Mus musculus: one gene and its partner. The protein of the gene in region 2 binds, or shares a complex with, the protein of the main gene of each other region. Links are inferred from orthologs where the notes say so. Each region holds a gene or a part of one and is shown on either strand. Other genes may lie near its edges.

What was found. The genes of interacting proteins can lie anywhere in the genome.
Region 1: the proteins of Gba (region 2) and Scarb2 are in contact, whole or in part, in a cryo-EM structure (PDB 9FJF), measured with the Homo sapiens proteins. The link is inferred for Mus musculus from reciprocal best matches to the Homo sapiens genes GBA1 and SCARB2. Residues at the interface, in NP_000148.2 of Homo sapiens: Leu130, Asn131, Ala134, Ile169, Glu190, Lys194, Leu195, Pro430, Arg434, Ile445, Thr446, Asp448; in NP_005497.1 of Homo sapiens: Lys161, Ala162, Tyr163, Gln164, Lys181, Glu183, Leu187, Phe191, Arg192.

Annotation. Positions count from the first base shown.
Region 1 is NC_000071.6:92,443,311-92,447,683, forward strand, and holds part of Scarb2 (lysosome membrane protein 2), read right to left. Parts: intron 3,153-4,373; coding exon 2,994-3,152; intron 975-2,993; coding exon 936-974; 3' UTR 1-935.
Region 2 is NC_000069.6:89,200,571-89,206,206, reverse strand, and holds the start of Gba (lysosomal acid glucosylceramidase precursor), read right to left. Parts: upstream 3,280-5,636; 5' UTR 3,121-3,279; intron 3,016-3,120; exon of another isoform or gene 2,847-3,015; intron 2,736-2,846; 5' UTR 2,721-2,735; coding exon 2,666-2,720; intron 2,223-2,665; coding exon 2,031-2,222; intron 1,933-2,030; coding exon 1,786-1,932; intron 761-1,785; coding exon 627-760; intron 416-626; coding exon 243-415; intron 74-242; coding exon 1-73. UniProt on the Homo sapiens protein: Glucosylceramidase that catalyzes, within the lysosomal compartment, the hydrolysis of glucosylceramides/GlcCers (such as beta-D-glucosyl-(1<->1')-N-acylsphing-4-enine) into free ceramides (such as N-acylsphing-4-enine) and glucose.

The sequences.
Region 1 (4,373 bases), on a different chromosome or scaffold from region 2:
TCATTCGTCATTTTACAAATAACCCCTCAATATTTGCAGACACTGTCATTCCGTGTCACTGTCCTATGTGGCAGAGAAGCCTGAAGGGAGGGGGTTAGAAGTCATTGATTCTGTCCTCTCAGCAGCATATTCTACACCCAGACATCTCTGACTAAAATTGACAGTTAGCCTCTAGATGCCATAACTAACATTGAACTCTATTCTAAATGAAATATCTGCCTTACCCTCACCAACATTCCCAGTGCAACCTCTTGCTTCACAAAAGCACAACTAAAAATCCTCAGGAGCTCAATGCTGTCTACTTACAGACACCACCCCACCCCACCCCATCCCTTCCCCTACTTGATTCCTAACACACTATAAACCAATCAAAAGACTTGAGTTATTTTCCTGAAGATTAGAGCGAGACACAAAATGTAATGTTTTACAGAAGGAAAGCAGCCCCATTTGCTTGGTACACTGTATGGAGCTGTGATTCTACCCTGGGTACCACATCTTTCTGTGTAAGGAGGTGAACAGGGAACAACAACAGAAACACATACGTACTCTGAACACAAAGTTTGGAGAATGAAGCACACTGAATCGGGTCAGGCCACGGAACATTAACAAGCGATTCAGACATTGTATCTACAACAGGGGGTCACGAAGTCCCCTCAGCTCCCAGGGCCCAACCACAAAAAGTTTCTACACAAGTTTATTAAATACTTCCTAGACACATGAACACAGTTTTAGAGACACGATTTTATAAAGCAGAATTGCCAGCCATGTCACCCTGCTCATTTCCCTCTGACCAGGAGGGGCTTCTCGCTTGCCAGTGCTATGTTTCCTTCTTGACAGGCCAGGAGCCCATGAGGATGCAGGGTTCCCCCTGTCCTGGTCCAGGTCAGGGCAGCTCTCACATTCTCTCACCAAGCTCAGGCAACAGGTAAGTCCCATTAGGTTCGTATGAGGGGTGCTCTTTCATCTGCAGTTCCCTGAGACAGACAGAGAAGACACAGAGAGGTTAAACGTTCATGTCAGGAACTTCTGTCCTGATGTGAAGGGTTGAGGCGAGGTGGCAGAGGTGAAAAGAGAAGCTGATGGGGAGGCAGTTCCCCCACTTTTCTCTTCCTCTTGGCTGTCATTGCTCTTTAAGACTCTAACCCGGGCCGGGCGTGGTGGCGCATGCCTTTAATCCCAGCACTTGGGAGGCAGAGGCAGGTGGATTTCTGAGTTTGAGGCCAGCCTGGTCTACAGAGTGAGTTCCAGGACAGCCAGGGCTACACAGAGAAACCCTGTCACAAAAAAAACAAAACAAAACAAAAAACAACAACAACAACAAAAAAGACTCTAACTCGACCCTGTTAGAGGACAACTTTTCCTCTCCAGCCCCCAGTACCAGATCTGCAAGCTCCTCTCTGTGTATGGTCTGGACTATAGCCCTTAGCATCCTGGACCAAAACTGCCTCCTTCCTGGTTTGTAACCTACCAGGGAGCAGTGTCTCAGAGGCTGTAGATGCTCACCAATACTTTTGGAAGACATGAAGATTGATTATGGGGTGCTAATTAGCATTATTAGGTGGTCTGCTTTTACCTAGGAAAATTCTGCTGATGACACAGACTGGCAGATCCATACGTGGCAATGGTAAGCAGTTTGCCTTATTTCTAACTCTGGCGAGCATGAGTGAAAGCCACATAACAGATGGGTTTCCTCCAAGCTATGGTTACCCATTTGGTTTCAACCAGCTTCATCTCCTGCTTCACACTGCTCAGATGGTTTAAAGGATAACTGAAGGGAAGAAGTGTGCAGTAAAAGCAGAAACTGCCAAGCACTCAAGGGTGTCTGTCTGTGCCAGGCTTGGTGGTTCAGGTCTCTGTAATCCATCACTGAGAAGGCTGAAGCGTGAAGATCACAAATTCAAGGCCTGGCTAGACCACAGAGCAAGTTCAAGGTCAACCTAGGCAGCTCAGAGAGATCTCATCTCAAAATGCATTTGTTTTTAAGGACGAGGCATGTGTCTCCATGGTAGAGTGAGTGCCTGGCTTGTGTCAGGCCCTTGCCTCAGCCTCTAATTCCATAGAAACAGAAGGGCTTCTACAGGAGCCATGAGACTCCTGGTCACTTCAGAGGCCAATCTGAGCCGGTTTATCCCATTCCTCCTGGAAATTAATGGTTCTTATGCAACCACCTTTCACCATTGTTACAGAATCTCAACCATAACACCTCCAGATATACCAAGGATTTTTTTTCTTTTGGTTTTTCTTTTCTTTTTTTGGTTTTTTGATACAGGGTTTCTCTGTGTAGCCCTCCCTGGCTGTCCTGGAACTCACTCTGTAGACCAGGCTGGCCTCGAACTCTCGAACTCAGAAATCTGCCTCTGCCTCCCAAATGCTGGAATTAAAGGTATGCGCCACCCCGCCCCGGCTTATACCAAGAATTCTTAACAAGTGGTCTCTGGCCCCTTTTCTCTACAACATTGGAATTATTTTTATTACATATAATAACCAAGCTTCTTGAGAAACAATGAGTCAAATCCTCTATGCTTTCTACATCATCTGATCCTCTCCAGAAACTCATGAGGGAGACTCTGTTATCATTCCTTTTACAGATGATGAAATTGAGGCCATTTTAAGGGTCATATAGATGTTTATTGGTAGAACTGGGATTTGAACCCGGGCAGTCCAGCACCCAAGCTTAGGGGATTAAGGTTTTCTATTCTTGTTTCACACTATTTTTTTCAAAGATGTGAAGTTACCTCCTACGGGATGTATCCAAACCCATCAAGAGACCCTCAAACACCAAATGGCACCATTCCATTCTATCACCCACCCTGACTTTCTCAATGTATACCAGCCCTGGAAACCACTCAGTCCATCTGCAACTGTGAAAATCAGTGCTCCCCACCCCCCCAAGTCTATCCAAAGGAGCCAGCTGGCAGCCATGCAATAGATTATTGAGGAATCCCTCAGCTAGACATATCCACAAAAGATCAATTCCTCCACCCAGCACTTACCTCATCCATAGACCCCTGTCCTCGACACGCCAGCCACGTGAAAACCAAGCCAAAGAACACACCCAGTGCCATAATGATGTAGGGTATGTTGGTGACAACCAAAGTCGTGTTAATCACAGACTTCAGTTGATTTGCGGTCTCTTTGTCAATGAGGACACTCTGGAAGGGGGAGAAATAGCATTACCTTGAGGACTAGTTATCTCGTGTGTGCGTGTGTGCTCATTTCAAACAAACCATATATACCGAGAATTCACATAGAATAACAAAAGAGGGCGTTTGTTTACTCAACCGATTTTCTCTTGAAGACAAGTATAACTCATCATAGACTGAAAATAGAGAAAGATGCTAAGAAATGTAGAGAAAATATATGTTACCGTTAGAGTCTGAAATGTCCCCACAGGCTCCTGTTTTAAATGTTGGGTACCATCTTGTAGGACTGGTTTTGTTTTCTTGTCTGTTGGTTTGTTTGGATTTTATATTGAGATAGGCTCTCATTCTATACCCCTGGCTAGCCTGGAACTCACAATGTAGACCAAGGTGGCCTCCAACTTGTGGCACTGCCTCTAGATCCAGTGAGGTGTGACTCCAGCCTTGTGCCAACCACTCCCATCAACATAGCCTCCTTGCCACGACAGACTGAAGCCCTTCTGAAATCTCGAGCCATAATAAACCTTTCTCCTTTAAGCTGCTTCTGTTGCATCGACACAAAAATAAGTGGTATGGGAGCCTCTGCCTGGCGTCAGATGGGTCGCTCCAAATTCATCTTAGCATTTCTTCATTCTAGAATTGTCTCTGGCTACCTCAGGCCTGATAGAGGAGCTTTTGTTGCTATCTCTAGAACCTCGTTCCTTGTCCTTGAAACCAGCATAACAGTTTACTTGTTTGTGTTCAGTAACTGTCAGTTCCCTGAAAGCAAGACAGCTCAGCCACCTTCGCACCTGGGAGAGTACTCAGTACACAGCAGGTGCTTAATACTGGCTGAGTAAATGAATGGCTGAAACACTACAAAAGTGGTATCTAAACAGTATCAATTCTCTCCTGAGTCCACGTGATGGTCACTGGGCTCAACAAAAATTGCTCAACTGAGTTGTGGAGGTAACAAGGATCGGAGAGAATTCCTAATCAAGGAAACACTCTAGAATAGCATCTTAGTGTGAGAACAGGTTTCTTCACTTGGTGTAATGGGTAGGCATTAAAAGAGCACACACACACACCTACAGGAGTGAAGAACACTCCTGCTTGGTTTGCACTGACTAGATTGGGGGTGGCAGAGTGTCAGGCTCTGTGGAAGATTTTCCAGTACCTGTCCCAGGCTTGTCAGAGTCAGGGCTTCCTCTTGTCAGTAGTTTCCAGTGTCAATTCCAGGCCTGTGTTTCCCTT
Region 2 (5,636 bases):
CCCTGCTGTAGGTTCATTCTCCGCTGTCACTGCCCAGAATCTTAGGCCATACTTAGCATAAGCATCCAGAAACCTGGCAAGAGAGAAAGGGCCTGAGTGATCAGGGCCAAGAAAGTGGACCAAGACATGGGCAATAGGTAAAACTAACAAACTGAAAGGCATGGAATGTTGAAAGTGGAGCAGGTCAAGGGATACGATGTAGACTACGGTGTCCAGATCCCAGGGCCCTGACGATCCCTTACTTGACAAAGTAATTGGCCCAGGTCTGGTGAAAGATATCCCCTGGCTGACCCTTGAGCGACCCCTTCCCATTCACTCTTCCATTGGTCTTGAGCCAAGTGGGTGATGTCCAGGGACTGGCAAAGAGTGAAATGGGGCGTGAGGACATCTTCAGGGCTTGGTGAATCAGGGGTATCTGGAGACAAACAGTGAAGAGAGAGACACCCAGAGCTGGAACACATACTAGTTCTACCAGTGCATCAGGTCCAACCATCAGCCCCCACCCTCTTACCCCCAAGTCAAATAGGCTGCAGAATGTTCCATGTTGCTCTAGAGACAGCTCTAACCTGGACCTTCCCAGCCCCAAGACGGCAATCCAATAGGGCTGAGGCAACTAGAATGCCCACCTTGAGCTTGGTGTCTTCTTCTGGGAGGCTGAAGTTGGATAACTGGAAGTCGTTAGGGGTGTCAGCATAGGTATAGACACGGATGGAGAAGTCACAACTGGCCATGGGTACCCGGATGATGTTATATTCAATTCCTGCAGGAATTGATGGCCAAGATAGGGAGATCTGAATCAATAGGAGACTATGGAGCCAAGTGTACCATGCCTGTGATCCCATTCCTCCTGAGGCTGAGGCAGCCAGATCAATGTGAGCAGGCCAGCCAGGGCTACAAGGCAAGACCCTGTCTCAAAATAAGATAAGATAAAATAAAATAAAACAAGGTGAGTATGAAAATTGGCTTTAATCAGTTATTAGTCCTCAATAGGCCCTCATTCAGAGCCAGGGTCTAGGTGTGGGCTTGTGGAGACCAGAACCTAAGTGAAACCGAAGCCCCTCTGCACATGTATTTCCTAAGTACTTAGCAGAATATTGAAAAAGGTGATCGTATTTCAGTGGCACTGAGTCAGGAACCATCGGCCTGGTACACTTGGTGGCATAATACTTGTAATTCCAGCACTTGGAAAACTAAGTCAGAAAAGAGTTCGAGGCTAGTCATGGCTACAGTGTTCGAGGCAAGCCTGGTAAAGCAAGGTAGGGATGGGACAAAGGGAAAGAGTAAGAACTGAGAGGCAGGCTGGGGATGTAGTTCAGGTGGCAGAATGCCTGCCAAGGATGCATGGCGCCCTAAGTTTGAGCTCCAACACTGTGTGAACTGGGCTTGCTAATGCACACCTGTAATTCCAACACTCAGGAGACGAGAGGCAGGAGTTCAGCCATCACTGACTACACAGTAGATTTGTCTGGAACACATGAGGTCTACTCCAGGAGCATTACAGAGGCGAGGAGAGAAGAAAAGGAAGGGAGGCAAATGTCCGGGAAAAGTATGGAAGCAAGAGCAAAAAGCCTGGCAAGACAGCTCCGTGGGAAGACCCCCGACTCTAGCCCATGGGTCCCATGGTGGACAGTGGACACCCGAAAATTGTCCTCTGACCTCCCCCTCACTCATGCACAGCACACACAAGAGATAATGAAATGTAATAAAAAATTTAAAAATAAAATAAAGCCAGGGTATGAAAAGGGGCATAAGTTACAGTGTACCACCTTGCTCTGCCCTCCTCACCGTTGGTAGAGAAGTAGGATCTGAGTAGCAGCTTCTGAGTAGGTGGGGACAAAGCAAGGATGTTGAGCGCAGTGGCGTCTGTCATGGCGCCTCCAAATCCTTTCACTTTCTGGAACTTCTTTTCTGGCTGCAAAGTGAGTAGTAACCCTGGGAAAAGAAGAGGAAAAGTCAGAGTCCAGAAGAGGACATGCTGATCACTGGTGTGACTTTGGGTCCAGGCTTAGAGGGACAGATAAAGTGGCTACCTGTGCCAGTGCGATTGGCCTGGATGGCCCCGACACTCAGCTCCATCCGACGTCCACGTCGAGTGCTCTCGTAACGGCTGAAGGTACCCAGAGCCGGTAAGGTCACGGGGTCAAGAGAGTCACAGTACGATGCATTACAGACACAGACCACTGAGCTGTAGCCAAAGCTTTTGGGGATGCAGGGTTGGGCACCTAGGAGGCAGGGCACAAGCAGAGGCAGGCATCAAAGCGGGTTTATGAGGGAGTGGGCATGCTAGGTACGAGACAGAACAACAATTAAAAAAAAAAAAATCCGGGCTGGTGAGATGGCTCAGTGGGTAAGAGCACCCGACTGCTCTTCCAAAGGTCTGGAGTTCAAATCCCAGTAACCACATGGTGGCTCACAACCATCTGTAACGAGATCTGACGCCCTCTTCTGGTGTGTCTGAAGACAGCTACAGTGTACTTACATATAATAAATAAATAAATATTTTTTTAAAAAAATCCTTCCACCATACTCCCAGCCCAAAGATGTCTCAGGCATTCTAAAAGAGTTACAGAGTCCCTACTGAAATTTCAGCACCATAATGGAAGGCTACCAGAGGACTTTGGGGGCAGGGGACACCTTCATGCCTCCATCTCCATCCTAGACTCACCATATGCCCAAGATACCGCCTGAAATAGGAAGAATCCGATGAGCCTGGCAGCCATGACACCAGCACACTTCTGAGAAGAAAATGTAGAGGAAAGATAATAGTGTAAGACTCTCTCTACCCTGCAACCACCCTCCTGGCCAGAGTTTAGCTGCCTGTGGATGCTCACAGCATAGGCTCCCACCTTTATTAGTGATTAGACAGTGCCCGTAGACCCTGGAGGCGTCCTGCATTCATTCACTCTGCTAGGGAGTTTGCTGCCCACTCCAAAGAAGACTCTCTTCACTCTTTTCCCCCATCGATTTCAACCTTCAGCCCTCCCTCCATCTGTGCCCTCAAAGAGCCATGATGCCCTGAATTTAAAAAAAAAAAAATTGAACTCACCGAATTCCATAATCTAGATAGGCAGAATTCCCGAAGCAAGATTGACAAGGCAAATTGTAGCCCTGCCCGCTTACCTCTCCAGAAGATCTTGGAAACTGGAGCTACTCAGGACCAGCGAATGAGAAGACTGTGGAAGTTTCTGTGCCTTGGAGGGATAGAAGACCTACCAAATAAAACACAGACAGATATCATAGCTCTTGGAACCGACTAGCACAGCAAGTTCCTTCCGGCTTAAAGGGGCGGACAGAGTCACATGATGACTAAGCCGGTCACGTGATGCAGGAAGTGAAGCAATCGAAGCCATATTTGTAATGGGCAGTTGGGCTCTTCTAGGTTAGTCATTCATTGCATACCCTGTGAATTTTGGGGAGGCCTAAAGGATGACACCTTTAGGAAGAGAATTCTAACAAGGATTGTATGGACAGCTGAGTAGAGGCTCCTAAATCCAAGACAGAGAGGACTTCTAGCCTGTGAGGGCCACTGTATTCACATGCACATACCGACACACAGATATACATAATTTAAAAATAAAATTTAAAAATAAAAACAAGGGGCTGGAGAGATAGCTCAGCGGTTAAGAGCACTGACTGCTCTTCCAGAGGTCCTGAGTTCAATTCCCAGCAACCACATGGTGGCTCACAACCATCTGTAATGGGATCTGACGCCTTCTTCTGGTGTCTGAAGACAGCTACAGGGTACTCGTCATATATATAAAAAATAAATAAATAAATATTTTAAAGAAAATATTTATTTATTTATTATATGTAAGCTGTCTTCAGACACTCCAGACCTCTGGAAGAGCAGTCACTGCTCTTAACCACTGAGCCATCTCTCCAACCCCAAATAAAATCTTTTAAAAAAATAAAAATAAATAAAAACAAAATTTAGAAACCCCACATACAGCCTGGAATTGGTGGCACATGCCTTTAAATCCAGCACTTGGGAGGAAAAGGCAGGCGGATCCCTGTGAGTTCAAGGCCAGCCTGGTCTATGGGGCAATTTCCAGGACAGCCAGTCCTGTTACACAGGGAAACCCTATCTCGAAAAACAACAACAAACCCCACATACACACAATCTTTATCCTAAAAAGACTAGTGAGACACATGAGTCAGACACTTACACGGAGTTACAGGCGAAGACAGACAGAAATGTTGAGAGGTATACTTGCAAGACTCCTTGAGAGGAAAGGGGACCCTTCCCAGAAGAACAGGCGGGGGGGGGGGGGGGGGGGAGTCACAGTAAGTGCAGGGAGTTGCTGTCGGGCTCTGGAGATCAGGACCAAGGGAGGGAGTGGTCCCCACTGGCCGTTTCTGGATTCTCTTGCTTTATCATCAGATGCTGGCTGGAAAGCTCTTCATCCTTCCTCCCAGGAAACTGGAAAATGCTGTCTGTCTTTGGTGGACACAAGAAGAGGGCTGTCGTCCGGGTTTCCTTGTGAGCCACAATAAAGTTGATTAATTGGCAGTGACACATGCAGCGTGATCTGACTAAGTCCAGGTCTCTGAGCCTGTTTCCACACTTGCCCAACATAGACACCAGCATAGTCTCACAGAACCATTACTAGCGTTAGCAAGAGAAGTCAAGGGAAGTCTGAGCCTGTTTCCACACTTGCCCAACATAGACACCAGCATAGTCTCACAGAACCATTACTAGCGTTAGCAAGAGAAGTCAAGGGAAGTCTGTAATTACACATTAGGAGCTTTATGCTTGCTGAGTGAGGTTTTTACATTCTTATAATTACCACATACCCTTTTTAAAAAATTGATTAGTTATCTTCTTCAGCTCTGGCAATATTTAAATTACAGTTGCTTGGAGCTGCATTGGTTTGAGTCCTGGCAACTGGCAATCATATACTGTTTGGTTATCACTTTAAGAATCAGTAGCTGGGTGCTCGCTTCGGCAACACATATACTAAAATTGGAACAATACAGAAAAGATTAGCATGGCCCCTGCGCAAGGATGACACGCAAATTCGTGAAGCGTTCCATATTTTTTAAACTCAAGAAGAATGAAGACCAAAGTGTGGACACTTTGCCCCTTCTTAGAATTGGGAACAAAACACCCATGGAAGGAGTTACAGAGACAAAGTTTGGAGCTGTGATGAAAGGATGGACCATCTAGAGACTGCCATATCCGGGGATCCATCCCGTAATCAGCTTCCAAACGCTGACACCATTGCACACACTAGCAAGATTTTGCTGAAAGGACCCAGATATAGCTGTCTCTTGTGAGACAATGCCAGGGCCTAGCAAACACAGAAGTGGATGCTCACAGTCAGCTATTGGATGGATCACAGGGCCCCCAATGGAGGAGCTAGAGAAAGTACCCAAGGAGCTTAAGGGATCTGCAACCCTATAGGCGGAACAACATTATGAACTAACCAGTATCTCTGAGCTCTTGACTCTAGCTGCATATGTATCAAAAGATGGCCTAGTCGGCCATCACTGGAAAGAGAGGCCCATTGGACTTGCAAACTTTATATGCCCCAGTACAGGGGAATGCCAGGGCCAAAAAGTGGGAGTGGGTGGGTAGGGGAGTGGGGGGAGGGTATGGGGGACTTTTGGGATAGCATTGGAAATGTAAATGAGGA